Linked DNA regions of Drosophila melanogaster. The protein of the gene in region 1 interacts with the protein of each later gene in a pairwise test. Each region holds a gene or a part of one and is shown in the gene's direction. Other genes may lie near its edges.

Region 1 (6,691 bases):
ATGAAATCAGTTTACAATCCGATACATACTCAGCGGGCGAGCATTTACAAACAATGAAATTCAATGCAATAATTCAAGATTCAATTGAATTTTAAGTACGCCCAGCGCCGAGCTTCCTTTTGTATCCGTAACTAGAAACTGACGATAAGCTGAGGCCAGCCGACTGTCAGTCACTCAGTCCGTCAGTCGGTCAGTTAGGCAGTCAGTCAAGCATTCAGTCAGTCCCGCCGACGGCCATCCATCTCATCCCAGATCGTCTGTCTGTGTGTCGCGCACGCGCATAAACTTCCCACTGAGCCAGTTGGCCTGTAGGAGGGAATTGGGCCCAAACCCGAGTCAGTTATTGCTAGCGGCTAAGCTGTAATAGTGGGCCACACATTTGGGGATTGAGTTTAATAAAATATCCTAACAAGTGCTGAATTCGGTGAGATGAAAATCTTGCGATTGCCAGAGTTGGATATCAAATAATAAGGATCATGACATTTCACTTAACACACTTTCATATAATTTCTGTCATAGAGCATTGAACTAAGGCTTAATTTAGCATCGTAGATCTCATGAGTAAGAAGTAAAATCAATATTATGAAAATAAATATATATATAATTAGTAATTTAATTGGTTGCCAATTTGTGTTAAGATGCCAAATAAAGATGCTCTGAAAGATCCGTTTAGCAGCATTACAGTTCGAGACAAAAACACTCTTTACCTTGTGAAATTACTGAGAAGTCGCGAAAAGATCACCAACCAGACGATACAACAGGAGTTCAGAGTTGTCAATAAAAATTAATTGCAATTTTATTGCCACAGAAGGCAGCTCCTGCATACAAAGTACTCGATATGCCTTACACTCGATTGATCTTTAGGCTTCGGAGTTACCAAGCAATTGAATGTCTTTTGGTAGCTCAAGTAAATACAAAATTAAGACTTTTAAGAGTTGTGAGCCAACTTAGGCACTATTGCCAATTAGGGCATGATATGGAAAATAAGGAGAACGCAGTTAAATAAATGCATACTACAGAATTAATGCAATATATATTACATCACCTAAAGTAAAAGTAAATATAGTTAGTTTAACCACTATTAAGAATACCCTTAGCCACAATCTTATTTCCGAATGGTAAAAATTTCTTTAAAGTTTATAGAACCAAAAAGGGAAGTCAAGTATAATTTGCCACATTTCTGGTACGAATAATAAAACGTTAGTCAAAACGTAGTCATACATATACATATGAATAAATACAGCGAAGGTAATAATTCCTATAGCAGATTTATCATATAGTGGTCAGATCCGTCCCGTTCAATCTTATATAATATTCATACTATAATCAAAGACACTCAAATAATTCTAGTGTCTTTGCTATAATAGTATATAATATACATACTGCCAGCAGATTGCTTCAGATTTAAATGACTTGTTTGCGTAGAAACTGACGAACGGATATATGTATGTGAACTCGGCTGCTGATACTGATCAAGAATATATATCCTTTATATGGTCACGAATGTCTCTGTTGCACACTACAGACTAAAATCAAAATATTCTCTGAAAGGTATTCCCAACAAAAAACGCTATATCCTGGGATAACCATTGTATTCTTACGATTAATTTCACAAAATGAATTAAGAAACTATAATTGTACAGAAACGATTATTTAAAGGATTATTGCCGTTCAAAAACGAAAGAGTAATTCCCGCTACTGTTCCGCTGTTTTCACGTCCGCAGATTTAAGTGACCCAATTGCAAAAACAAAAGCAAAACAATATTAATTCAACTCTGAGCCGACTGATGCTGCAGGCACCTCAAAGTTAAAAAATGCGTAGCACGTGCGTTCAGAAATTCGGCCAAGAAAAAAGGAAACTGTTAACTGGGTCCATAAATTCAACTTTGTTGTATATACATACATACATACTGTATGTTCATATAAGTACGTCACTTTAAACATCTGCCTTCGTTTCCTTTAACTCTTTAATTTATTTTTGATCCAGCTTTAATAACTATTAATTTATTATTCCTATAACTTGTACGTTGAATGGGCATAGGTAATTTTCTTGAAATATGAAATATTTAAAATGGAATGCATTCTGTATGAAATGTATTCGGGCCTAAAAAGATGATTGTAGTTATTTAAATTTGAAACTAGATTTTTAATACAAGAAGATTGATAAAAAGTTATTTTTGATTTATATTTAATAAATATTTTAGAACTAAAACCAAAATAAATGATGTTTTCCCTACTAAAATTATACTCGAACTTGTAGCTGTATTAAAACGTGTTCACTTATTGATTAAATCATAGCCCATACAGTTAGTTATACGTTCTCAATTTTTGCCAATCTTGCGCTTCTGATTTCCAATGAAATAAAAGTGACTATTGTACGAATCACCCTAATATTTTTTCACAACTGGTATTTTTCTCCGTCCCGCAATCGGTAACACCATGCAGGGTGTCTGAGTTTCGAATCGGCATAAATTCGCCGGCAGCTGAGCAAGATGTATCCTGTGAGCTCGCAAAAGAGGTCCTGGACATTCGCCAATGAGGGCCAGCTCATGGAGTTCCGCGTGGAGCAGAACAGCAAGTACATCGAGTCGCACGAGGAGGAGGCGCAGGGTCGCGACCTCAATGAGCACTTTCTCACGTCGGCGGAGGAGCGCCTGTTGCTGAAGCAGTACGAGATCTACCTGTTCGATTTCTGCCGCCGCTTCGAACCGACGATGCCCAAGTGCGTTGTGGGCACGGCCTTCCACTACTTCAAGCGGTTCTATCTGAACAACTCCCCCATGGACTATCACCCCAAGGAGATTCTGTAGGAACGCTCACCTGAGAGCAGCAAACACCCAGCTGAAAAGCAAAACATTCTAAAAATGTATAAACCTTTTCAGAGCCACATGCGTGTTCGTTGCCTGCAAAGTTGAGGAGTTCAACGTGTCCATCAACCAGTTCGTAAACAACATCAAGGGCGACAGGAACAAGGCCACCGACATAGTGTTGTCCAATGAATTACTGCTGATTGGACAGCTCAACTACTACCTCACCATACACAATCCGTTCAGACCCATCGAGGGTTTCCTGATAGATATAAAAGTGCGATATATATTCACATTTGCTCTCCAGATTGTTTCGTTCATATTGGTTTGTTTCAGACTCGCAGCAATATGCAGAATCCAGATCGTCTGCGGCCACATATTGATAGTTTCATTGATTCCACGTACTACTCGGATGCCTGTCTTCTGCATACGCCTTCGCAAATTGCATTGGCTGCCGTCCTCCACGCGGCCAGCAGAGAGCAAGAGAATCTCGATAGCTATGTGACGGATCTTCTGTTTGTCTCCGCCAGGGAGAAGCTACCCGGACTCATAGATGCCGTGCGAAGTAAGTTTGTGCTGTGAGATGGTGCGCCCAGCCCTACATGCCTTTTTCCCGACAGAAATTCGCATAATGGTGAAGCAATATCAGCAGCCCGATCGGGAGAAGGTCAAGGCCATCGAGAAAAAGTTGGACAAGTGCCGAAATCAAGCCAATAATCCTGATAGCGAACTGTAAGACGCCCTAATTTGTTCATGCATTCCGAATTTAATAACCCTTATACTTTAAAAGCTATAAGGAGCGCCTACGCCGATTGTACACCGATGAGGATGACATGCCCGCCGAAGATGCCTCATTCCACATTGCAGATGTGAGCTCGGACACATCTGCTATGAACATCAGCCAATAGACTTAAGAATATTTATTTAAATGATGTGATGATCTACTACTGCGTGGATTTCATCGATATTAAAGCATTTTGTAATTTACCATTTCTTGATTGTTAAAATGTATGCGTTTAGTGTTAGTTTACTAAACAAAGTTGGATTAGGTACTTCACTTTTCCAATATATAAAATATTAAAAAAAAAACCTTTTGAAAATCCGCTTAGCGCTGCTTGGCAATATTTCGTTCGCAGCTAACGGCCACACTGCGCCCCAAGAAAAACAAGAATAGTGAACTCAGTCACAACAAATAGCAAAAAGAGTTCGAAATGCAGGATTTTCTGCCTTCGCTGGATGTTCTCTTTCTTGGACTACCAGGCCACTACTCGGTAGCGCTGGTCACCCTTCTGCTGTGCGTTTTGGTCGCCTTCTACTTCGCCAACATCTTCAAGGACAAAGGCGTGGGTGTTTTTGCCGGAAGAAGTAGACGTCTCCTGGAATATTTCCTTACATTATCTTGCAGGAACTGGAGGACGAGGGCCTGGGGGCCGACGAGCCGCGCGATGAGGAGGATTCCGAGTCACGGACTCCGCAAGGGGAGGAAACCGACGATGACGAGGCCTACGAAGAGAACTCCACCGAAAGCGAAGTTGAGCTAATCGAGGAACAGCTGCCCGAGCACAGCTACAACCACCTGATGGGCCAGCTCAAGGCCAAGAGGCTCCAGCATAAGATGGAGAAGACCCTGACTCCCAGCCAAATCGAGGAGGAGCGCCGAATAGAGCGCGAGCAGCTGGCGGCCATCTTTGAGCTCCTGCGCAAACAGGAGGCGGAATTGAACCTCCAGGACCGAATAAGCGACCAGGATCTCAAGCAGCAGGTGCGGCTCTATCGCTGAAGTGGCGCCGAGCCTGGGCTCACCCTACCTGAATGTACAGACTTGTGTGATCTATTAGTTTAATGTTTAAAATTCCAAGATTTGGTGTTGCCTCATACGGTCCACTAAGTGCGGGCAAGTCTTTAGTCAGAGAGCTATCTCATCAGTCGATGATGTCGGAATATAATATCTTAGTTGTATGTAAATTATATGTATTCCACTTCGATCTATGTATTTTGTGAGTTCCTGGTGTTATTAATATCTGATTTAGATTTGTAGTAAATGGCTGTTCGGCTCTTAGTCTCTTAAATCAGCTTTCGAATTAAGAATATATGTATATATTTTAACGTGTTACAAGATAAAAACTCGCGATCAGAAAGTGTATAGATTTAAACACAATTAATCGCCAAATTCGTTGGTTAGATTTAAATTGTGTTCATATAACTTTGGATTTATTTGTTCAATAAAGAATGTTTAGCTGTGTTAAGATGTAATATATACTCTAAATATTTCCTACCGTTTCCTAGCCAAATATCCGAAAATAACCGCTCATATTTTATATGCCGCGATTGGATTTTTGAAAATAATTGTTCTAACATATAGATTCCATCAGCACACCTTCGATTGGAGCAGTCGAAATGCTTAGCGTTTCTGTTCCAAATTTTTTAGTACTAAAATGTTTTTAAATTCACGTGGAGCAGATATTTTGTTGGAGTTCTAAATACGTTCGGTTTGGTTTGGTTGATGTTTAAACGTGTCGTTGTGGCGCCAATGCCCATGCATGTTTACTATCGCTTATCGATACACCGCGTACACGGCAACCGTGTGTGACCAATTCAAGCACGAAATCGTTGACCAACACTGATTGTACATCAGACGACACGACAACAAAAACAACAGCAACAACACCACCGACGTGCTTGTTCCTGTGTGTGTGTGCGTGTGAGATTGGAAGACAATGGCTGCAGCTGCGGATCTGGTTGTTCCTACCCTTGCCAGTGAGTATAGCCCGGATGCAATCCCCGCCAGGTGGTCACTGAGGTGCCGTCGACTCCTTGGAGCATCGAAGGCAGCCGATTGGGCCGCCCGGTTAGCGGAAAAACTGGAAAAACCGCGCGACCTCGTGTTTCCACCTGCTAATCGGGGTCACCTCTCGATTCTCATCAACAGTTCGCTCTAGCGTGGCCGTGGAATTGTGGTCCTCGGCGGGCTCCAAGCAGCCCTTCGAGCACAAGCCCCACCTGCCGCGCGAGGAGACGAAGAGCTCGCGCTCGATCTGCTTCAGCTCCAACGGCCGGTACTTCGCCTACTCCAACGGGCAGGAAGTCAAGGTGCTCCAGGCCAGCCGGGACAGCGCAGCCAGCTGGCCAGTGATATGCGTGCTGCCCAGGCCGAAAGCCTTCTACCTCCAATTCTCGCCACGTGGCAGCTACCTGTGCACCTGGGAGCACTATGCCATCACTAAGGACCGGCCGGAGGGGTCACCCAATCTGCTCGTCTACGAAGTGGCCACCGGTGTCGAAGTGTTTGCCATCGTCCAGAAGAACCAAGCGGACTGGCAGCCCTCCTGGTCGGCGGACGAGTCCATCTTCGCTTTGGTAGTCGGCGGCGAGGCACTCTTCTATGACCTCGGCGAGGGAGCGGAGAAGGGATTCGCCACCACATCGCGCAAGATAGGAGGCAGTCGCGGCGGTATGCTGTCGCTGGGTCCCGGTAACTGCCCCCCGTTCCTTGCGTTCTACACGCCGGGAGCCAAGGGCGCTCCGTCCATGTGCAAGCTCTACAAGTACCCGGCGCTTGGCCAGAATCAGACCGTAGCCTGCAAGAGCTTTTTCCAGGCGGATCGCGTCGAGATGTTGTGGAACAAGCGAGGCAGCGGACTGCTTCTCCTAACCAGCACGGAAGTGGATAAGAGCGGTGCCTCCTACTACGGCAACCAGGCGGTGCACTTCATGGCAACCAAGGGCGACACCTGCTCAGTGCCCCTCTCTAAGGAGGGACCGGTGCATTGTGTCAAGTGGAGTCCTAAGGCAACTGAGTTTGTAGTCGTATACGGCTTCATGCCATCCAAGGCTGCTCTCTACAACCTCAAGTGCGACGTAGTCTTCGACTTCGGTGAGGGTCC
Region 2 (6,004 bases), on another chromosome or scaffold:
CTAACAAGATTAACTGATAAGCCGGATCTACGATTGTCGAGATTATTTTGTGTGTGGGCGTGACAATTATGGTTGTTAGAGTGGGCGTGGCAATCTTCTGAAAAGCCTGCCTACCTGGACTTTCGTACTTTTACAGTTCCCAAAATTAAAGCGCTAAAACGGACAGATGAACCGAACAGATAGACACGGAAAAGATCCTGATGAATATGCATAAGACACTTACCTGTTACAAACTGTGCAGCGAACGAATCTACTATATCCCTTTACTTTGCGAGTACGGGGTGCTGGGGTGGATTTCAAATGTTCATTGTTCTATAAATATTACTATCCGTATTAACTACCTGATTCAATATAGCTTACAGAGGCTTAGATGTTATTAAGCACGTGTATAACAGACAGAAACAACCAATAGCTTACGGCTTAACATTGGACGCTGCGTCTCGTCCTGATGAATATTCATGATCTCCGGGCATCCTTGCCGACCACTTGAAAGTTAGCCTGCTCTGCAGTTTGTCCGCCATGCCGAAATTATAATTCCAGCTCGCTCGTAACTCGCACAAACGTCAGTCTCATTAATTTTGGGCAAGTTGCAGTTTTAAAATTTAGTGCCGGCCCCCAAGTTAATTAACACCTGAGCCTCGGCAGCCGCCACCAAAGTGGGCGGGAAATGGGCTGGGAAAATCGAGCTGGTTTCAGCCACTTCAGTCACACTTTTGTGCTCGGCAGCCGTGTGCACTGACGCAAAGCGGAAGTGGCACTTTTCCCAGTTGAAGCTGGAGCGGAATTTCAGAATGGATGGGGGGATGGAAAATGGGAGCGGGGAATAAGGAATGGGTAATGGGGATCGGTAGCTGCCAGCAGCAGGCGTATCGAAAACCGAAACTTTTGATGGAAAAAGTTTGCAACAACAAACGCATGTTGGCGGGCAAAACAGGCAAGCTAAAAAGCTGAATAGCCGCGGCAAGGGCGCCTTTAAACCATCAAGTAAGTCGCTATAATTCGCGCGCACCGCCTCATGAATTTTTGATTCTTTCTTAGCATTTTTCACTCCGCCAGTCATTCTATCGCTTTCCATTTAATCTGAGTCTTAGCTTTGAATAATGAGCCCTGGCCAAGGTGCGAAGAACTGGGCCAAACTCGAGGGGGTTATCTATAAGCCGGGTTGATATGAAAAGTTCACACTGGGTAAGTAATTGCCTAATTCGAATGCATCGAAATGATAAAGTGAATTTAGTGTACCTTTCGAAAAATAAAAGTAACAATCTCCCATTAAAAAAACACAAACAGTAGACAGTCTGATTTTCGATATTATTTAAAAGTGAACACATTGTTGCACAATCGGTAAACAAGATCCGGAGTAGATCATCGAGCAAGATGTACAAGTTTTGTTGATGCGCTGAAGGAACTAAAAATGCCACAGAGGCAACTGCGAGTTTTCTCATATTTTTTTCCGCCGACTCTGCACTTTCTTTAAAAACCGCTGACTGATGCATGCTGATGACTTTGTCAACAACTTAAATTGTTTGGTGGCAATAAAGTGGACTGAAGTTTAAGTACATTTAGGACAGAAGGCAGCTTTCATTTTCTTCTAATGCAAACAAGTTAGCCCAGCTAAGCAGGATACATAATGCAATCAAATTAACTAGCGCTTGATACGTACTCAAAATCATTTTAAAATCCCTTTTTTAATTCCATCGTTTGTAGATGTATATGGACAGAACAATTAAAAGCATGCAAAAATTATAAAGAACACATAAGCCAACGAAATTAAAGTTTTGCAAAAAAGTATATGGCCTTGAGTCTTCCTCAGTTAATATTTCCATATTAGAGTCGTTATGAATCGCATCGGTTTGTTCTTGGTCCACTCCGTTGAGGGTGCAACTATCTCTATCCAATAAGACATCTTTTTCTTCACTTTAAATAAACAAATTATCACTTTAATGCTTTTGAAATACTTTCAAATAAGTATTATACCCCATTTTTTTGGAGGCACTCTGATCTTTTCAGCTTGAAGGCTCTGTATAAACTGGATGAAGGCACTCATCTGCAAACATGAAAAAATATTCAAGGGAATCGAATTCAAGAACGGAGGCACACTGTACTAAAATCTTTCGGATCGTATGCAGCTTGCACCATTAAAAATGATAATATATTGACAAATTTTTAAGGGACTACCGTCCTAAGTAAAACTATATAAGAGGTATCTGTAAAGTAAGTCTGAGATCACAAGTACATTCATTAGATAAATAACTAAAATTAGTGTAAGAAAAAATATGAACTAATAAAATAATTATTTAAGAAAATTTCTGAGAGGAGTAAACTCACCATAAGAACCCTAGAAAGGGTATTTGTAAGTAAAAACCAAAGCTTTCAGAGAATTTGACTGAAACTAAGAGACAACATTAAAGAGAACCTCTCAAGACGGAAATATATACAGCTGCGGTTAAAATAATAGCACTACTGGAGGTGGAAAGTTCATTTCCTAAAAATAATTATTAAATGTTTATATTTTTTAAAGTCAGATTGCATGAATAATAAGTACCATATGTTGGCTCTCTGAGCAAGAAATTTATGGTCTCTCAATGTAAAGGTTCTTTTTGTTTTTGGGCACTTGCTGCAAAAGTGCGCGAAATGAGGCGGTAACAAAAATAGCACTGACCACGTATTTGCTGAATAATAGAGTGATTGCTTTGGGTTTTTTTCGACAAATTTTGAAAAAGGAGTTGTATTAAAGGTTTTAATTGAATTTTTTCCAAACGAAGACCAAAAGTTCTCTAGTCATGGGTCGCGGCAAGCATTTTACCGTCGAAAAAAGAAATTTGATTAAAAACATGATCTCTAAAGGTAAAAAATACGCTGAAATTGGTGGCATTGTGGGTTGTTCAAGCTAAATGATCCGCAAAGCACTGCTGTTTGTCGAAAAGAACGAAACACGGCGAAGAAAGCCCTCAATGTCGCTTGGTTAGGCAAGGCAAGAAGGAGCCTTTAAAGCCGGCGACGGAACTGAAGAAGGAGCTTCAGATAGCTGAAAGCGGGGAAACTGACAAAAAAGAGAATCTCTCAAGACGGAAACAGAGTGCCAGAAGTATATAAGTACTGAAATGCCTAATATATGAATGTAAAACATTTATCGCTTTTAATAGATTGTTATCAAAGTTGATAGGGTTTGATGATTCGTAAGTAAGCATAAATTGATAACGTAGAACAAATTGATCTCTCTTCGCAATCTCTTACTTCAATGTGATTTTCTTGTCATTTTGAGACTCTTCTCCGCTCTCGTTTGACGGGTTTTCTCAGACTTATATAGTTATCTTATCTGAGTCACAAGCAACAAAAAGAAGATTGTCAGCTCTTGACGGTTCACTGTTTGCCTTGTTGTTGCCTCAATTACCACCTTCTGCCGTGGCGATAATAACCCAGACCCCAAACTGATTGGTAATCATGAAAAAGAGGGAAGGAAAAAACCGCTGAAAATGCCCGGAGACCAGCGAATCGCTCTTTAGTCGAGAGCAGAACGCGTTTTGAAATGGACACGGATGAGACTAAGGCTGGAACCTCGGGTCCGGGGACGTACCACGATGAGGTTGACTTTACCAGCGGATACGAGACTCAGTATAAGAAGGAGTACAGCCCGCTGAAACCGATTTTTGTACCGCCGCCGGATAAAAAGCACGCCTGGTTTCGCAACTGGTCCACCATACTGATGGTCAGCTTCCTGTCCGGGGTGTTTATTCTGGGAACCGTGATGCTGGTGGTCCAAGTTTTCACCGCCAGTCCCCTGCAGATCTTCATGATCGTGGCTATATATGTGGCTATAGCCGCTGTGATGATTTGGCTGGAGGTGCAGTCTATAAAAGTGCGGTGAAATAATATGTACGTGTCGTGACTAATTTAGAGCGTTATCGCACTTACGAGCTACGTTCTGTTTTCAAACAGTGGCAATCGAACTGTGTTCTGCTAGCAAATGCAAAGCTTAACTAAAAAGGAAGCGGCTTTACTGATTAGGCGCTAAGAACAAAAAATCATGATTTAATATAAGTTCAAAGTAAAGAAAGAAATCCCATAATCCATGTGTTTTATTTTTGACTAGACAGTGCTTTTAACGTTTTCCGATAATTCCGGTTCAATTAACTAATTATTTACGGCCCATAAATGAACGTAATCTAGAGAGCGAAACAAGGTGGCCAGATAAAGGGCTTTGTGTGAGATAAGCAAACAAAAGTGAACGAAAGAATCACGAATTCAAGCCATTTAACTGCAAAATAAATACGCATTTTGTTTGTCGATGTATAAAGGACAAATGTTGTAGTGACACATTAAAGCTCCATACATCACAGAGATTAACAAAGCAAAGTACATAAAAAAGATTCCCTTATCAATTAACTAATTAAATTAAGCACGCTAATTAAAAATTCATTAATAGCGGCTTAGCGATGGAGAGTGGAAATTCAATTATTTAACGCTGTTGTTTATTAAAGGAAGTGTCACAAACCGCATCTGCGCCGGTGTTTGGCACACAAAATTATTAAAATTATTTCCACTCTCACTTGAAAAAGAAAAAATACAACGAATTTTCAACTATGCCAGTTCCCAATGGAAATAGTTCTCTAAATATTTTCACATTTGCATTTTTCTAAATCACTTCTGTAATTGCTTTTCACATGCCACTGCTGGAAAAACTCCGACTCCCTCAGAATTTTCCATGTTTTTACAACAGTTTTCTCACTTGTGTGTGCCATCAAGTTGGTAAAATTCTAGTTTAATAGCTTGAAATGTTACGAACATTTGGTCAGCGTAAAAACAGCCGGACAAGCTTATTTCTCACTTGGAAATTCTAAAAAAAAAAAACGTTGTCCCATTAAACTTTAATTTCCGTTGACAATGGACGACACTTTTTGCTCTTTCCGTTTTTTGGCCCCACTCGAGACGGAGGCAACAGCTGACTTACCTTAATTACTCACAGGATTCCGAGCCGTGCTAATTATTTGCAGGGTGCACTTTTCAGACGGAGTGCAGAAGTCGCCAGCGCATTTAATTATAATGGCGCAAAGGGCGTCGAGCTTAGGCATTAATGCCATTTCCGGTCGCCGACCACCGGATGCCACGGCGCCGAAACCGCCCCGCGGACACTTTGTAATGCCATGGAGCAAAAAACCGGGTTGGAAATGATTTCACAAATAAAAAGCAGTAGCAGATATAACATTTTAATATCAAGGAAATGTCGTTTAAATACATACAACTGAATATTTATCGGATTTATGGCACTACATGCATACAAATAAAGTAATTTCTAGCATTGAGCAAAAGAATCAAACAAATGTGGCTATATTTGTAATTAAGCCCGCCATATCTTAAATCTTAATTCGAAACTGCCTTCAATACATTTTTGAATGTAGCGACTAAGTATGCAGTAGAATAAGGAAAAACGTTTTAACTAAAGGTGCCGCAAAGCGGTGCTTAAACCGTTTTGTGATAAACAACAATACAACCTTGAGCCAAAACAAGAAAAACGTTCGATATGCACATGCATTATTTTGCATTGATTTATTGCTCGATTGCCTGCTGGCTCAATATTGTACATAAAAGGCATTTAAACAAAAGCTGTCTTCCATTTTATTTCTGCCACTTTTTAAATATTTAAATCACAGCATTTTCCACAAGCGGGCAGCACCTCCATTATTCAGAGCTCGTACAAGCCGGGTAAAAAGGACACAAATGAGAAACTCAATTGCAAAGCGAGTGAAGGACAACTGTGGAAATGCAAATAAAATGTTTGGCTGCAACAGAAGCAGAATCCTAAGCTGCCCTCGGGAGCCAAGACATCTGACTCCACAGCCATGTTGGTCACTGCCAGGGGAATGTGTCTTAGAATTTGTTTAAGTAAATCTCACTTGAACGCTTTTCATTAGCCCACTCAGCAAGGACGAACTAGTCATTCCACCAGAAAATATAAAACAAGAATTGAAAGCATAGCTCCACCTAGCGGCGTATTCATGTGCTTTAA
Region 3 (10,037 bases), on another chromosome or scaffold:
AATTTGAGAAGACCGATTGGCTTTCTCCTTCAGAAGAGGCAGGTGTCCCAAATGCGGAATTAGAAGAGGACAGTGACGAAATGGAGGCCACAGACGAAGATTTTGAGGAAATATCAGAAGAAGAATTCGAAATGGCGCTGAAAGATGAAGGATTTGAGCAGGAGGTAAAAGTAGAAAAGTCAGAAGAGGTTTTGCATCTAGAACAGGATAGATATGATGAGAAATCTGGCTCAGAAGTCGAGGAATCCGTATCGGATGACAAGGAATCCGGAGGGGAGGCTTCAGGAGAGGAGGAGCCGGCTGATGCGGCCAAACAAGTAAAAATCGGCGAAAACCCGAAGACTGATGAGCAGCTATCCAATGAAATTTCCGATAAACCACAAATAATTAGAGTCGACACTCTCTCTCCCTTCAAAAACATATCTTCCTGGGCCAGCGACGATATACCCAGCACCTCCAAGGGCACTCTTAATCGTTTTACTGCAACCCAGTTTATGAACTATGGTAGCAATCGCGATGAAAACGAGGCGCCGCCTTGCAAGCGACTAAAATTGGAGGAGGAGGAGTTCCCAATGAGCCAACCAATGCCGGATTACTTTAAGCATCCGTCGTCCACATTCAACAACTTTGATGATCAATCACTTCGATTCAGCTCGCCCCACAACAATTTTGACGATGATTACCTGCTGAACTTCAGCGATGATAATGATGTTACACCTACTGCCGCCTCGGCGTACATACTTTAAATTGTTAACGTATTTTGGTCAAAAATTAATGTATGTTCTTTATAAGAACGGACAATTAATTAATATCCAGATACTTATTCATTCATTGCCATTTGCAATCAAAAAAAATTTCACTTCAGCTAAATTATTTGTAGCTTTATAATGAAATTAATTTGCGTACATAATATGCATATGTACATTTAAATCATACGTATTCAGTTCGAAAGTGCCGTTTCAGACTTATTCTTCATTTTGTCGTTGCTTATAAACTAATAAAACAATAAATTAAGACAAATTCGTGACTTTAAATATTTAATTTTACTGCAAACAGTAAATTTTACCACTTGCAATAAAATACTTTTCTCATTACAGCATATAAATCTTTATTAAAAATGTATATTATAAAATAGGGGAATATGAAGACTACTTAATACAATACATAGTGTAAAATACATTTATATATTTAATCTAATATATATTTAACTTTAATATTTCATTTGTAATTCTGGGCGCCAATGGTTTGAGTCCAAGCTTTAATCGATTTGGTATATTTATGGTTTGTTTTGGTATTTGTCAGCATGCATCGCGCTTAGTATTTTAACCCATGCTGTCGATACCACGAGTTTGTTTTACAAAAATTGAACCAAAACCCAAAATAAATGGCTCGGAAACGAAAGATTCCCGTGCGCAAGCACCACGGCGTCCGTGATCCCCTCAAGCAGCTGGAACAGAAGGAGAAGAAGTTTGTTCATAGTGGCAAGTCAGTCGAAAAAGGCAGCTAAACTAATATCTGCACCATTTCACATTTCAGACTTTCCAAAGTAACGAACAATCCGCCTGTGAAAAAGGATGAGCAGCAGGTGTCCTTTAAGTTCCGTCAGTTTCAGCAGCTTGCCAACGCCACCAAATCGGGCAAGAAGCTAAGATTGGGCGAAATTGGACGGGAGGATAAGCCCAAATCCTCTCCAGGATCCAAGCCTGGCAGTAGTTCCTCCTCAAAGGAAACGCGTAACATCAAGCAGTTCGCCAACGAAACGGACGAGGATTATCTGCGCCGAGTGAATCGCATGACCAATGCATCCGTACGGGAAGCCCACTACGAGGCCAAGTATGGTGTGAACGTGATCAGAAACCCCAAAACCGGGGAGATTACTGTCCAAAAGAGGCCGAAAAACGAGATCGACGAGCTGCTCAAGCAGAAGCAAAAGGAGCAACGGCTGGCGGGCAAAAGGGGTCGCAAAAAGGTTCAAGTCGTACACAAGCCCATGGATGCGAAGACCAGTCGCGAATTGGTGAAGAGGGCCTACAAGGAGGCCCAGCAAGAGGTTGATACCGAGGAGAAGCAGAATGCCGGGCCAACAGAATTCAAACAGGATGCTGTGGCATTTGGTGAGATCGTCCATGCCCCACCTTCCCTCAAAATCCTGCCGCGCAAAGCGGAAAAAAGTGAAACCGTGCCGCGTCCAGGACGCAAAGCCAATCTCCTTCTAAAGTCCATGCTGAATCCCGACCAGGGTCAGTCAAATCGTGGGCCGGAGGACGACGACAGCAGTCGACTAAAGCTGGCTGCCCAATCTAAGAGCGCCTTCAAAGCACCCACCAAGGCCCAGATGAAGGGCAAGCGGAAAGATCTGCCCTTGGCTACGAGGTCAATGCTTGAAACCGAGCGCAGCAAAATGGTTCAGCTATACCGTCAGCTCAAAAACAAGACAACAGCAGATTCCTAACAGATTCTAGACTAGATACCAACGTACTTTTTTTTTTACATGAAAACAAGTTAACCTAATCCCTTAAGTTTCGTGAATGCGTTTGCTACCCACTGAAGGTCGTAGTTTCATTATAGAATGTTAAATATATTGATGAGATTTTTATTAAATCTATTTTCATACAAAATAAAAAGTGCACTGTTTAATTCCACTATTTCTATCAGTATTTCATGGAGGTGGTAATTAATATGGAGTCTTTTGGCAAAAAGAAAAAGGGCACTATTATGTTGATATTTATAGATACAAAAAAAGTACTTCACTTGCTTATGCAGACACTCACATTTTTTTATTTACGTATAACATTAAAAAATATAAATAAAATTTAGAGAAACTAAAAAGTGGCGCTAAATATGACAGTATGACCAGATTTTATTAGAAACCCACGTTCAGTTTTGTGCGGTAGCTGTGTACACGCTTGGACTTAATCAACACTGCGCCTTCGGCCACACTGGTCGTGACGGAAATTTCTGAAATTAATTTATTTTAAATTGACTTTTAAGCGTGATCGTTCGCCGAAAAAGTCGGCTAAAGTGAAAAGCAATAGAAAAAATTTAAAAAAATTGCTATTAGCGCAGTAGTCAACTACAATTACTCTAGTTAACGCAGTTTTAGCCAACTTCCTATTTTTTTTATATTGATTAAATTCATTGTTGTAGACACACGCACATACACATACGCATAGGCACGCGGATAGAGAGAAGAACAACAAATTGTGACTGGCGCGCAAATAGGCACACAAATAGCATTAACAATTGATAAATAGCCTAGACGCTAAATGAGTCAATCGTGAATTAAAATCGGATATAGAAGGCTTATTAAATTTTCCTTCTTCAACTCGGGCTTACGTACATCGTGTCAAAGCCACAATGTCTTACTGCAGTGGTGTGGGTGAGTGTGCTGTTTTAGTTGTTTTTACTTATCAGCTGAGCGAAGGAACGGTGATTAACCCGCAGCTAGTGCGCAGCCCGTGAAGCCAAAAACGACTATTAACCCTTAGTCCGTGCATTCTGTTCACCACCACCACTTCTGCTTTGGAATGCATATTACATCTGCATGTCTCTGTTTTTTTTTTCTAGCCATTTCCGCTGACGAGGGGATTACAATGCGCAATGGCAGGGCAAAGGCGCTCCAGGAACACTCCCCGGATCAGGTGGCTACTCCACTGTTGCCACAGGTGCCGCCACAGGAGCAACAAGATCTTAATCCACAGCAACAACAGCAGCAGCAGCAACAACAACAGGCCACTCCGCAAAAGCAGGCCATGTCCGCAGACGAGAAGAAGGCCACCAAGAAGTCCCTGGTCATCGTAGCGGGCATTTTTGTGGCCAGCTTGGTCACCATGTGCTATGTGTACGCCATATTCCCCGAGCTCAACGCGTAAGTGGGTCTTTCTGGTGCTAAAGCGCCACAAATGTGTGTCCCCTGCGCATTCGTGCACCTGTAAGGTGTTAAGTGGCCTCCATGTGTGTGTGTGTGTATGCTTAGCTTGTCTCGCTTGATTTGCGAGCAGAGATGTCGACCAATGATCCGCTTAAAATAGCTAGGCTACATCCAACTATGATTAGATATGCTAGGTAGTCATTTACCTAATGCTAGTTATCTCCATTTCGCTTCTAAAACAATATTTTATGTTTAAATATCATAGATATTACATTTGTAGGATGTAAAACTCTTATTGCAAATACTTATTATTGGCTAGATCAGACATAACTATTTGTATGTAGTGAGAAAAGGGCCATTTAATTGTCCAAATATTTACTATAACAGCCATGTTAAATAAGTAACTTAACTCAAATGTCACGCTTTGCATAAGAAAAACTTTCTGCACACGATTATTATTATCTTTAAACTTTACCTAAAGCGGATTGTTATTTGATAGTCTGGTTCTGTGAGTGAGTAAACTTATTTTGTTTAAAGTTCAAGACGTTTGTGTACATATACTTCTATCAATTTGAATTCATCAGAATTTGATTTGCATGGAATCAGCAAGTCAGAGAACAATCTTTGTTTTTTTTTTGTCAAATTTGATCAGCAAACGTAACGTGTTGAAAACTATAAGTGCAGATCCCTCTAATCTTTTTCAAAGTCCCTTGGCAGACCCATTATTCTTATTGATAATGCTGTGAAATTTTACTTATCTATTTTGTTGTTCTTTTTTGTGTTCGTGCCTTTTCACTGCATTGGCATACAGTGATTATAAAGTAATTGAAATAGTAACCAAATCATGATACCTTTTACGGCATTATAAAAACACTTATCTGTATATCGTGAGTTTGCTTCCATTTAAGAGGCGTTTTTGGGCAGTAAAGATAGGAACTATTTACAAAGAGTTATTAAAGTATAGTATTCAATAAATAACAATGGTTTTCTATTTAGATAGTTAATCAAATAGTAATATTATATACCAGTCCCTAGCAACCAAACTTATCTAAATTTGTAAATTAAGAAATATTTCAATTAAGCTCCAGTTGAGTAGCCAGATTTGACTGGAAAATGGCTGAAATTACAGAGCTATCTGGCGAGAGGGTTTACTCGCACACACACACACACACACATCGAGTCACGCCACCGATATATGAAGTATTTGTATATATATACATATATACATAGACTGTGTTTACACCTCGTCTCGGTTTTGTTCTTGCCCAACTTCTGCAGGTCGGAGAAACAACACTTGAAAATTCCGCGTGATATCCAAGATGCTAAGATGCTAGCCAAGGTCCTTGATCGCTACAAGGACATGTACTACTTCGAAGTGATGTTTGGCGTCGTGGTCGCCTACGTATTGTATCCTTTTACCAAATCCAAAAGTACAAATCCAAAGTACGAAAAATGGCATGAAAAGTCGGTCGCCGACTGATTAGATAATAAAAGAGTTCTATCGTTCGGCGGTGACCTTGACCCGATTACCAAAAATGAAGACCCCGCCACTACAAACTATTCACGGTCAGTCGGGCGTTTGTGTGTGTTTCCACCTTAATTAATTCACGATCACCGTTTGAAGCGCATAGTGTGCATATTAAATACGTGGGTAGCACGGGGAAGTGCGAGTGAGATAGCTGTAGGAAGCAGGGGAGCCGCTGAGGTTGCCTTCTTGCTCTTACTTACTACTTGCACTCTCTGGGGTGGACCGTATTTCTTTGGATTTTCCTCACACGCTAGCATTTCGTGTTACTAGAATTCAATGCAAACAAAAAAATAAACCCACAATGCTCAAAACTGGTTCTTCACTGTGCGTATGAGTAATAAAATAACGTATACGCAATGTTAACTGTGTTGCTATTAGTTTATTTAGAAAATGTTTTGCTAACCCAACTGGGTTTAAGATATTTTAAAATGATTAGTTTTTATCGGTGCGTGTCAAGTTTATCGTTTTAATAAGGTCCACTCCAGTGCACGCAGCATGTGCTACCTAAAAATCGACTTTGGTCGTTTATATGACGCATTCTTTGTATTTGTTGCTGTTTTCGTCGCGAAAATCAGCTGAGCTGGACATTATTTTGTTGTCGTCAGTGTTTTGATTTTTTGTATTTTGTTTATTGCTCTTCTTCTTCCGCACTCAAGTGCGTTTTTAGCAGGAATAAACAAAAAAATAAAGAGGCAACCTAGAAGCGAAATCAAAAGCTAAAGCACATACGTAACTTTATAGCCTTGCGCCAGTGTGTTAGTGAGCATTTTTTATTGGCCCGTGCATTTGTTATCGGGCATTTGTTGAATACGTGGTCCGATGCCAGATGGAACGAGACTGTGGGGGATTCTCGGACGATGGGGGTGTCATTGTCAACTCTTTGCGTCTATAAATACCCGCCCACAGACGTTCGAGCACGCGTCCAACTAGTCGTACGATCTGTCTTTAATCCCAAGCACAGTGGTTCCAAGAAAGAACGTATTTTGCTAGCCAATGTGACATGACATGTTTTTAGCCAAAAAATAAACAAAGAATACTGGCAATCTCCTAAAACATCTCTCTAATAGTTTCGCTAATTTTGCCATATAAAACATATCAATGTGGCAATACGTCGAATAGGTCATTAAATTTAGTTGCCACTGCAGGTATCAGATGAAACCGCCTACGACTGGTTACCTTGACCCAATTGAAATCCATTTATAGCCTGCAAACATTCGCCATTCCCGGATCGCTGTTCCTCTCGATTCTGCTGGGATTCCTGTACAAGTTCCCGATCGCCCTGTTCCTCATATGTTTCTGTTCGGCGCTGGGCGCTACCCTATGCTATACACTTTCCAATCTGGTCGGACGTCGTCTGATTCGTCACTTCTGGCCGAAGAAGACCAGCGAGTGGTCGAAGCATGTCGAGGAGTACCGGGACAGTTTGTTCAACTATATGCTATTCCTGCGCATGACACCGATCCTGCCTAACTGGTTCATCAACCTGGCATCGCCAGTCATCGGTGTGCCGCTGCACATCTTCGCATTGGGCACCTTCTGCGGCGTGGCACCGCCCTCGGTGATCGCCATCCAGGCGGGCAAGACGCTCCAGAAGATGACTAGTTCGAGCGAGGCCTTCTCCTGGACCTCAATGGGCATCCTGATGGCCTGCGCCTGTGCATCCTTGCTGCCCGGTCTACTCAAGAACAAGTTCAAGCACAAGAAGGAGGCGTAAGCTGGCCGGAGGATGTGTCCAAAATATATTTATATATATGTATGCTATTCCCCAAACCGAAACCAAAACAAACCGAAAAATCATTAATTGTAATTTATACACTACGCCAGAAACAACACACACACACATACCGATTTTTTTTTGTTTGTAAATTTTTTTTCGGAATGCCACTTTGGGTCTCGATCCACTATGTTTAAGACAACTACAAAATATCTGTGTTTATCCTATTATTAAAATTATTAATGTTTTCTGAACTTGTTCTTACCAAACAACTTTTGCATCATATATTTCCATCAATCGTTTTTAAGTTAGTGAATTTTTGTTTAGTGCTATTGCAGTATTTACTAGAAAAGTTCTCCTCTAAGTAAAACGAGTTAGCAGAAATCCATTGAATATTACGCAGCGTATGTAAGTTAAAAGATGATTAAAGTATGTATGTGTCTGCAAGTAAACGTTAAAACAAATACAAATTACAAATTATGTGTTTTATTTTCGGTCATATCTGGATCTAAAAAACTATCAAGAATATTTTCACGCTGTATGGTCAAGAAGTCATTTTACTCACATGAAACTTATGCAAATAATTTGTTTACTAACAGTGAGATTAAATTTAAATATACGTTATAAATATAGTGAAATTTAAGCTTAAAAAGCGATATATAAGCTTATAAGCTTAAAGCTATGCTTGTTTTGTAAGCTTTTAAAATGTTTAACGGCAAATTTGAATTTACTTGGCAAGAGCTTTGGTCTTCTACCTTCTCGCCCATCTTGTTCATTTACATTGGCCAAAACTTTGGTTTCCCCTGTCGACTATTCTTTGTTATGGCTTTAATTAGCCTTTATTATTCTTGGCATACTGCTCGATTTTTCTTGGCCGCCTTTTTGTTATTCTTGCGGTTTTGGCAGCCATTTGATTTGTGTGCTCAATTAGTTAGGCAAACTTTTTTAAAAGGATTAACTGCTGAGATCCGTTTCTCAAAAATATTTTTAATTTACTTTCGCCGAGACTTTGCGTTGCCCCACGAGATTTTTCACCAACAGTCGGCTGGCTTGTGGTTATCATACCAGTTAACTTGTAGAGTAAGGGGCATACTACATATGTCGCAACTTAAGTATTTAACTGGTAAAAGAAATCGTTAACGAGCCTTGTCCGTCCGTCTGTTCGTTCGTATGGACTTGTAACTAAAAGAGTAAGGATGCAATTTTATACATTTTGTATGCCCGATTTTTTAGCTGAGTAATGGGTATCTAATAGTCGTGGCACTGGACTGTAGTGTTCTCCCTCCTTTTTCTTAGAAGGTCTTCAAGGCAGATGGTGCTACAGGTGTCCACACGCACAGTGGCAAAGACAAAAAAACAAGGGTGAATGCTATAGCCTCGACTATCAGATACCCGTTACTCAGCTAGTGTGAATGCGAACGCGAAATTTCATCATTGGGATATGGATAAATATAAAATAAAAATGAGAAAAATTTTAAAATTGTTCAAACCGTGACCGGTTTGGCGGCTTTAGGGCGGGAGTGGCAACATGGGTCAACACACTTTCGCTGCGGACACACTCGGCTATTGATCCTGATCAAGAATATATATACTTTATATATTTACTTTACTCTACGAGTAACGGGTATAAAAACCACCGGAATTTTGTCAAGCTATACCGACACGCACATCATGGACAACGCGGCTCTTCTCTGCTGTTGTTCTGCTTTTCGTAATTGATTTAGGACGCGTGTAGTGAAACATAAAGGACCGTGATGAGGAAAACAGTGGGTATTGCCTATGGGGGATATGAGCCATATATGTACATATGTATGGTTCGAATCAACAGTAAGTTGATAGTTAAGAATATAGCATTGACCCAAATTTGATGTGCTAAAGAATTCGCGAATTCTGATATGTAATTTATTTGATTTAAGGGCTTGTAAGAACGGAACGATTGGGTTTGTCGTATCGACGCAGTACTGCACGACCGTGCCAGCATAGAAATTGTATTAACGACATCATAATTTCGCCTGCCATGCGTTTCATCAGTACAAAGGCGTACTCCAACTTTTGGCAATTGCCTAAAAAATATGCACATCTTTATTGGGCTTAAGTAGTACAGATATGAGTTTGGCTGCTGCGGAGTGTTCCTGTCTGTTTCAGGCAACAAATTCTGATCACTTAATGCGTACAGACAAATGTGAGTGGGCGTGGCAGTGGAGGCCGGGGCAACCAAAGGGAATCATAATCGTTTGTAAATTATGCACTTCATTAGTTGGCAACCATGGGCTTTGTAAAAGCGATTTACATTGTGGAGAGCATTCGTTCAGCAATCCGCTTATAAATGGGCAAAAATTTAATTTTAAATTTGTGTCTAAGCAGTTGTTAAGCTGTATTTTTGCTTAATTGGTATGTTTAGGCAGTTTGTAATTCTCGAGTAATTGCTTTCAAAGTTGAGCTTAAGTTTCAACAATACACTTTAAACGTTACCTGAAGATGATGATTTTGCAATATATATATTTTATATATCTTTTATTTAGCTCCCTTTTTTTTTGCCTTATTATAAGCCCACTCTTTTTGTCGCACATTCCCATGCTTTGTAATTCTGTTTCTTAGCCAAAGGGTTAAATATTTTCGTTTTAATTTCGCCTGCCCAAATGTGTTTTTTAGGCATTTGAAAAGGCCAAATTGTAAATCTCAAGTGTGTTTTCTGAGCCAGGGTGGACGACTCTAATCCACTTTGTCGCCGAGTCTGCCAATTATGCAAATCAATCAGGACGAAAGAGGGGCGGACGCACTTGTCCGCTTCACTAGCGAACGTGCCCTTTTGCAAGTTTCACACTGACAGCGCACAGTGGGTCAAGTAGCTCAAAACGTATGCGTACTAATTTATAATTTCGAGGTCTAGTAAGGCAAATGCTCCAAAATTATTCGATAATTGA
Region 4 (8,070 bases), about 17 Mb from region 1:
TTCTACAGTTTAACCAACGCGAGCACACATGCGGATCCTTTCATGCTGGTGAGTACCATGTGGACTTCATTACCTTTTGTTTTTTTAAATGACTCCAATAACTTTGTCATCAATTTTTAGTGCGTGGTGACCTGCGGCTTTGCTGTCATAGTCTACCTGGCTTCCATCCTCTTTTCGCTGGCCTTTGAGCTGCCCTTCAGCAATCTTTCAAGTTTGCTAAATCGACGGCAGAGCAAGCCAAAATCGATTTAAAGATGCTAGCCCTAAACTAGATCGTTAAGGTCACCGCACACGCCTCCATCTGACAATTGTGATTGCTTTCATGTACAACTAATCATTATTATCGAATCACTAAACTTAGTCTTATCTTAGTCAATGTTACTTATATTGTATTTACTTATATGATATATCCTGTACTTCGGTGGAAACCATACTTAATAAGATAATCACTAGCTGTATATGTACTTTGTGTTACGTAAAATCATTATTCCCCAGCACAGAATATACAACTGTTGAAAAAATTTAAAAATCTGAATAATTTACTCGATATATGTTGGAATGGTCCTTCTTTAAAGGATATACATTGTGTATATTTGGCTTTTATTATATGATCGTAAGGCAGTGGAATTCACATAAGGTAAGGTAATACAAAATATTGTTTTAAGTCGATTTGCATATGTCGTAGTATCCAGGACATACTTCACATTTCTTTAAAAATTCAGCATAGGGATTCGGTCCAGTAGAAACAAAAAACATTCGTACGCGCCTCAAAATATCCGACGAATGCTCTTCAATTTCATTGAAGTCCCACTTTGGATGGTGCTTACTTATGCACAGTATTATCTGATATAGAATGGATTCCGTGGGAAAATAATATTTTAGCATTTGGCACATTTCCTCCCTCACAGTTTCCACAAATGTTTGCGTTAGCGCCATTATAAGCTTAAAAGTGTCGACTTCCAAATGCTCTGACATTCTACTTATCAAAATGTCGAAGCTCTCTGAGCTTGCAATATGTTTCTTGAGTTGGGTTCCGTATTCTCGCAGGTTTATTTCCTGCCCCTTGACTTTAATAGATAAATCTATTTCTATTTCTGGAAGATCACTTGGAGTATTTTCTGGTTTTTCAGCCTCCACAACCTTTTTTGATTTCTTGATCTTGCTATCAATGGGCTGAAATATTTTATCCAGCTTCGGTATTGAGGGCACTCCATTGCAACAACGAATGAGATTCACATTTCCCTCAATTTTAAATGATTCCCTAGCAATCTTATCCCACGCCGATCTAGAAATATTTTTATTTAGATTTGCGAGCAATATGAATCCTTTGATACCTACCGTTGCTGATTAACAAAAATGCTGGGATCATTATTATTATTATTCATCAGCGATTCAAGGCGTGAATTGTACAGATTATTCGTAAATAATACTAAGGAATCGGATAGACCAGCCACATCACCAGATTGTGTAGAACTATGAGGATTCTACATGAAAGACAAACAATTTAAACAAATTCGAATGTATGTTAATGAAATATGAAGTTTATACCAAAATCGACGAAAGCATCTTTTCACTGGCGCAGAAGTCGAAAACCTCTTCAGGATAAACCAGAAATGGAACTGAATGTATGATGATTTTTCTAAGTTTATTAGTCACACTGGATGCTTTTTTCAACGATTCGGGTGTTATTGGTATATCTTTCTTATTTGGGTGCCATATCTGAGTGGTAGTATACGTTTTTAGCTCAACGCGACCATCGGTTTGCTTGTAAACTCCAAGATACGGGGTGACCATTAGACCTGCGGCAAACCCCGTATGGGTCACAAATCGGTTCCAGGAATCAGACATTGAGTACTGTGACACATATGACATGCAACAGTCAATGTTGCTGGAATGTCCAGTTTCATCTTGTACAAATAAAAAAATATAATACATTTCTCGATTTACTTATAACTATCGAGCTTACCCACGCATCGTCGGCATCGAAACACCGGATACAGGCGCCAGGATCTACTTTCTTCGGCCAGCTTGGGATCATATACATTATTGACAACCATCACAAAAAATAAAGACGTGAGTGACTGCCCTTTGGAGTATTTTCCTGATATGAGAAAGTAGATAACATAATGACGCTTATTTGGAATATATTATTAATTTTACTATAACTATAACTCACTATAACTCCAGATCGCATGAAACATGTTAGAATCGAAATTCAGCAGAGACAGCTTTGCCTTCAATATGTTTTCTTGACCCGACGATATTCTGCAAACCTTGAGCTTTATAATTTGCAATTTTTTCGGATGAATCCTACTTACAGATCCCAGGTTATATCGTTGCCATGGCCCAGGATGTCGGCAAACTTTTGCTGCACTTCTCTGACTGTGGGAACTAAGTTTCCGTCCCCTTTTGGAGCACTCATTTTTGCAAACTTTTATTCCTGCTTATTTCTAGAACTTCTTCTGTTGCACGTAGAAGATGGAAGTTGCAACAAAAGGCGGCTATCGATAGTCAGTGCTGACGAACTGTCACTATCTAAGTAATATGATGTATTTACCAGTCATATTAGGGATATTTGTAATTTAAATAAACATTAAATAAAACACTTATCAAAATGTATATCTCTTAATGTTTATGATCACCCCAATATTGTTTACATTCGACTGTTTGTAAATAATTAGGTTTCATAAAAGGCATTATTACTCAACGAATTAAATATTATTCTAATTTTTGTTATTAAGTAATTAAGTAATTACAAAATTTAGTTGGCTGATAACGATATTAGTGCAATTTAAAAAGTTAAAATCTTAATGTTAAGTTAAAATAGGTTTCCTATCGGTTGAATCAATTATCATTGCGTTTCTTCGTAATTTACAACTTACGAATGGCGACTGAGCCGATGCACTTTAATCGATAGCAATTTTGGCAGATGGATCTTGAAAATCTAGGCAAGCTAGATGAGAAAGCGATAGAAATGGTCACCCCAAATTTTAAACGCGTGTCGATGCTTGAGTTCCATCCCTATCTCCCGCTTTCAGTTAACATTCCAGTGGTGTATATAAAATCTTATGCCTGGGGTTTTTGAAATTTATACTTAAATAATATATATTAATACTGAACATGTTAATATTTTTAAATGTGTTTTGATACAAATATTGTTAAAAACTAGATTTCTTTAACTCTGAATATTCAAAAAGTTTTATGAAGCCAACTCCCCTTAACAGCCCTTCTTTACAACTAACAACAACGCCTCTGTTAAATATAACAGTGAATTTCGCCGCTTTAACAGCAACTGAGAGCGGCTAACAGTGCGAGAGAAATTCGAACGGGGCAGCAACAAAAAAGAAGAAAAAGACTGGTAATAACGCTACGCTTCTCAGTTACTCAGTTCCGAACGGGCAAAAAACAATTTAGCGCCCTCTGAAACGCTCTGTGTTTTATTTTCCACTTAAAATATTAAAAAAGTGCATAAAAATTGCACACGTCGCTGATAACTCGCTCGGTATACTTATTCTCTAAAATACTGTCTTTCAAATCAGTTGGAAAATATGACATGATAATAAGTGAACAATAGCCGCGCCGAGAATTTTTCGACGAGTGACGGCGGTTATTCCGTTTTTTATTCAGTTTTTCTTAAAAAACCCAAGCGCATAAACAATTAAAGTCGGACAACACCATCGTTAAATGAATTAAAAGTGAATAAAAGCGCTGTCAACGCCTTTTTGGGCAGCGAAAAAAGGAAAGAGAAATCCAGGCCCAGCATCCTTCAGCCTGCTTCTTCTTCTTCCTCTTCATCTCCTTTTGCATTTCTTTTCGCCGCGTCTGTATAGGTGTTCGTGTTGGTGTGGTTGTGTGCAAGCTTGAAAATTGTGTTAAGTTAAGTAAATTTATTCCAGCTGCCAACAACAAATTGATGCCAAAAATCTATACAAATTAAGTGCTGCGTGCGCGTGTGTGTTGAATTAGCACTCCCAATTGGTGTCTCTTTCGCTCTAACTCTGTTTTTGAACTGTTACCCAAAGCGATGGGTGTGTGTAAGTGTGCGTGAGTGCTTCACATGGAAATTAATTAAAAACGCACATTTGTTGCCATTTCCCTCGCTCTCCCGCAAGGATTCGACTGACTGGCTAATGAGGAAGCAGCCAGGCGAACAACCAGCAGGTGACTATTAATACATAAAAAAAAGCATAAAATGTATGAAATTAATTATGCGAGTGCTTGGATACTATCTCTCCAGATTTCGAGGGGTTTTGTCTTTTACTTTTGCTTATCAGCATCCATTGAACAGTATCCTATTGTTGTCATTGTTGCTGCGGGGAGGGACACTTGCTCTCTCGCTCACTCTCTTTCATGTGTGGGTAGCGTTTTTTTTTTTTGTTTTTTATATACGCATCTATCTCTTCTTTCGCTCTTTTCTTCGCCTTTAAGAGGCGTTGTTGTTGTGTGCTCTTCTTTTGTGCTTTTTTCCAACATGAATTTTCTTCGCTTTTTGTTAGCACGTCGCTGTCGCTGAGGACTGACCTTGAACAAGTTCAGGCACAGTGGCACGCATGCCTGTTTGTTGTCCTCCGTTTTGGCTCGTCTGCTCCTTTTCGCCTTTTTCAACTCGTTGTCCTTGGCCTGTCCCACTGTGCCGCCTCGCTCCGTCTCCCTCTTCCTATCTTTCTGTGCGCCTCGCTCCCGTCTGAATGTTTGCCCAAGACTGCGAGAGTGTTTACCTCATCACTTAGGTACAGTGGAAATCTCACTAGTTCCGATACACCGCTTATCAATAAAAAATAACCCATTTCTATATCAATTTTTCCTGATATCAATCAAGTCATATGTATTCAACTTATTACATATTCAATAGATTTGTTATCTGAAGAAGAAGTCGCTAAGAAGACCGTGTTCGAGTCCCACTAAGATAGCACCATATCTCTAAGGGCGATATTTTGGATCTAAATCGATTTTTGTGTGATTTTCGCTAATAGACATTTAACACGTGTACTTTAAATTAATGTTTAATTTATTGAGCACTATGGCTTATAAGGAATTACAATCATTCCGTTCAGTTTAAAGTTCATTGTTTGCATTGGCGCTTCAAATTTTCAATCACATGCTCGTTGGCGAAGCTCTGATTTTTAATTGCGCCAGCTTCCGCGAGAAGCTCTCGCTCTCTCTTTTTCCCACATTCATCTCCCCTCGATCGGCCGTCTCTGTCGAATGGGCTTTAACGCTTTTTTCAGTGGCGCAAAATAACGTTGTATACGCTTTGCTTGACTGTTTGTTTGCCTATCAGCTGCTGTCACCGCTTTTCACCCGTTTGCGCCTTCTGGCCCACTGATAACCGGCGGTGCGAGGCGTTAGACGTCGGCGGTGTTACTTTTATTGGTCCGTACAGTGACCCCGAGATTCTCCGCCGACGTAACGTCACGTCAACGTTTTCAGCTTTTTGCTTTCTCTTTTACTCCCCCTTGCCGCGCCGAAATTTTCGACACGTACGAACTGCTATTCATTATTAATACCCGAATTTCGAGCGATTTGCGATCCTAAACAGTACGTTTATGAAATAACATCCTTATGTCTCACAACTTAATCTTTCAACTGTTTTCTACTTCCTTTTGGGTTTCTCCACTCGACTTATTCATGCTTTTCTAAGATATGCGAAAAGTAATCTGCATGTAGCAAGTTTCACAGAATTTTGTGTATAAGCACACCAATCTTAATAATTTTAAGAAAATTGTATTTTGGTCTTTATCAATGTGCTAGTATCAGCTAGAATATAATACTCTAATACTCGAACATAATAATTCATTCCGTTTCATCATGTGATCCCCTCATGTGAGACTTTCAAATTCAATGCTTCAAATAAATATAATGTTTATCAGATAATTGTTTTTTTTTTTTGAAACCAGCGGAACATCGAGAGAATAACACTTATTTCCATTGTGAATTTGTTTAGATAAGGCATACCAAAATACTTTAAAAGTTTATGTTCGTATAATGCAAATTGTTCTTTTATTTTAAACAAATACATACACGTGCCTCTCTTCTCACACACGCATTTGCTGATGTGGATACATTCTATAAATATTGCAAGTATTTGGAATTTCTTGATTGCGCGCGTAAATGGATAGAAACCAGACATCCACGAAATTTGTGCACTGCAGGAGAACTTTAATTTATTACTGGATTTCTTACTTACTGGATCATCGTGTGATTTCTTTAATTTACATGCGAGCGATTCCGAGCGTTGCAAGAACAGCAAAAAATGGCCATGATCATGTTTGTCTAGTTCGTTTTAATTTTTATCAGCAAAAAATTTAATTGAGTGCAAATCGCGAGCCGAACCGAGCAAGTTTCCAGAAATGTGAACTTCCCAAACACCAAGAAAACTGAGTCACCACACAAACATTTCGATTGTCTGCTTCAGCGAGCCCATCAAGGCGTCGTCCAGTTGCTTTTCCCTTGCTAAATGTTCTTTATTTTGCCTATTGAAATACAAATATGTGCAGTGTGTTCACTATCGAGTCCCAATGTACAAATGTCCCGTGTACCAAAGAAACGCTGAGAGTGCGTGCAGAAAACACGTTTTGTTCGGGGCTCCGAAACCGGACTTTGCCCTGTGAAAAGGTAAACAAAAGGCGCTTAATTAAATTTTCATACGCAGCCGAGGAATATGTATTCATAAGTTATTTAGCGTGCGAGAGAACGGGAGCGACCAACCCTGCAGAGGAAGTCCATAAAGTAGGCAGGACCTCGGCTTGGGCGTGGTTCCTCTAGTTTTGCATTTTTATTCCCCTCCACTGCAGCACAAGCTATTTTAATTGCCAATTTGCGGGGTCGCCGGTTTGTCACTCAGCCCGTCGTGTCCTTCAATCGAGCTGAATGTATTTGTCGTCGCCACACAGCCACCCCCCGCCCACTTTATATGATCCCCTCCATCGGGGGTTATGAGTAATGCCCTGCACTTTATGTGCAAAACAGGAAACTTCGCCATCCGTGTCCTGAATAACGAATACATGCAACTATGTACTTTCTACAACCGCAAGCTGCACTGGATGAGTTAATTATGGGCTTGAGCATATACACTGCGAGAAATGGGCCCGAGGCCTCGCATCTCGAATGCTTAAAGTTTATTTTTTCGACATTGTAAGCTTATCTCGGTGAAACTAACTTTGCCCTTGGGTGTAGTACAATCAAAGGAAACTGCGTCTTACTATAAAGAAAATAAAATCGTTTGTTTTTAATTTTGAAATGTATGATTCGACTATAAATTTTTAGTAAATATGTTTATGATAATTTATGATGACTTCTTTCAGTCTTCAAGTCAACTTTGTTTGATGAGGCAGTGATTAATATGAAATCGAGGTTTGGATTACTTGGATCAATTTCTGTGAGTGGAGGCCAACGCCCAAGCCGCAGACCACAGGAATTGGGCAAGATAGAGCTCGTAAATCCCGAGAAGGCGGCGGATAATGCCTCGGAGGTTCGGGCAGATTGCATCCGCATCCGTTGGCTGCGATGCCTGACGTTGCGATTGCGATTACAATTGCAATCCAAAGTGGCATCCACACCCGCACTAAGTTGCATTCGCCTAAATATCTGTCTGGCATCGTTATTCAACATTGCCCCGCAATTTGTTAGCCCACGTGAATGTGCGTGCTGTACGACAAATGGAAATGGAAATGAAAATGGGAAAAGTTTGCACTGCATAGCCGTCCTATGCAGTTTCACCCCACAAACAGACCGCACTGCACCGCAAAACTCGGTTGTCGGCTGAGAAAAACTCCCTCAGCATGTTGTAATTGCGGCATGTTGGCAACAGAAAACTCGACTGGGGTTTTCCTAGGCCTCCTACCGCCTTTCCTCTTCTATTCTGTTTTTCCGCCAGTCTGCGAAACTCCTTCAAGCCGCTGCTGACTCACATTTTTCGACATCTGGGACAGGGCGATTTTTCCGTGGTGCTCTCAGCTTGATGCATGCACTCAGAAAATCTATTTGAAGCGACAATTAATGGTTTAAATAGTATGTAATTATACAATTGCTAAATATACCCTTGAAATAATAATATTTACAGAAATAAAT

What was found.
Region 2: the proteins of CG7407 (region 1) and CG15152 interact in a two-hybrid assay, tested with the Drosophila melanogaster proteins (one large-scale study listed by BioGRID).
Region 3: the proteins of CG7407 (region 1) and stas interact in a two-hybrid assay, tested with the Drosophila melanogaster proteins (one large-scale study listed by BioGRID).
Region 4: the proteins of CG7407 (region 1) and CG11357 interact in a two-hybrid assay, tested with the Drosophila melanogaster proteins (one large-scale study listed by BioGRID).

The regions. Positions count from the first base shown.
Region 1 is NT_037436.4:21,819,514-21,826,204, forward strand, and holds CG7407 (uncharacterized protein), read left to right. Parts: upstream 1-3,947; 5' UTR 3,948-4,018; coding exon 4,019-4,150; intron 4,151-4,212; coding exon 4,213-4,587; 3' UTR 4,588-5,058; downstream 5,059-6,691. Other genes in the region: CycH (cyclin H), read left to right, coding at 2,493-2,806, 2,883-3,084, 3,144-3,372, 3,428-3,539, 3,598-3,715; eIF2A (eukaryotic translation initiation factor 2A), read left to right, coding at 5,525-5,564, 5,737-6,691.
Region 2 is NT_033779.5:18,111,157-18,117,160, forward strand, and holds CG15152 (uncharacterized protein), read left to right. Parts: upstream 1-3,390; 5' UTR 3,391-3,526; coding exon 3,527-3,865; 3' UTR 3,866-4,064; downstream 4,065-6,004. Other genes in the region: CG44476 (uncharacterized protein), read right to left, coding at 1,686-1,914, 1,975-1,979.
Region 3 is NC_004354.4:17,620,771-17,630,807, reverse strand, and holds stas (stasimon), read left to right. Parts: upstream 1-2,912; 5' UTR 2,913-3,357; coding exon 3,358-3,379; intron 3,380-3,567; coding exon 3,568-3,868; intron 3,869-5,149; coding exon 5,150-5,278; coding exon of another isoform or gene 5,279-5,351; exon of another isoform or gene 5,352-6,544; intron 6,545-6,602; coding exon 6,603-7,113; 3' UTR 7,114-7,587; downstream 7,588-10,037. Other genes in the region: corolla, read left to right, coding at 1-746; CG8326 (uncharacterized protein), read left to right, coding at 1,385-1,467, 1,537-2,452. UniProt on the Drosophila melanogaster protein: Required in cholinergic neurons, but not in motor neurons, for normal neurotransmitter release by motor neurons. Involved in muscle growth.
Region 4 is NT_037436.4:4,538,747-4,546,816, forward strand, and holds the start of CG11357 (uncharacterized protein), read left to right. Parts: upstream 1-3,304; 5' UTR 3,305-3,358; intron 3,359-3,373; exon of another isoform or gene 3,374-3,896; 5' UTR 3,897-4,161; intron 4,162-8,070. Other genes in the region: CG11353 (uncharacterized protein), read left to right, coding at 1-48, 121-252; CG32243 (uncharacterized protein), read right to left, coding at 661-1,285, 1,339-1,484, 1,549-1,907, 1,967-2,101, 2,177-2,265, 2,319-2,422.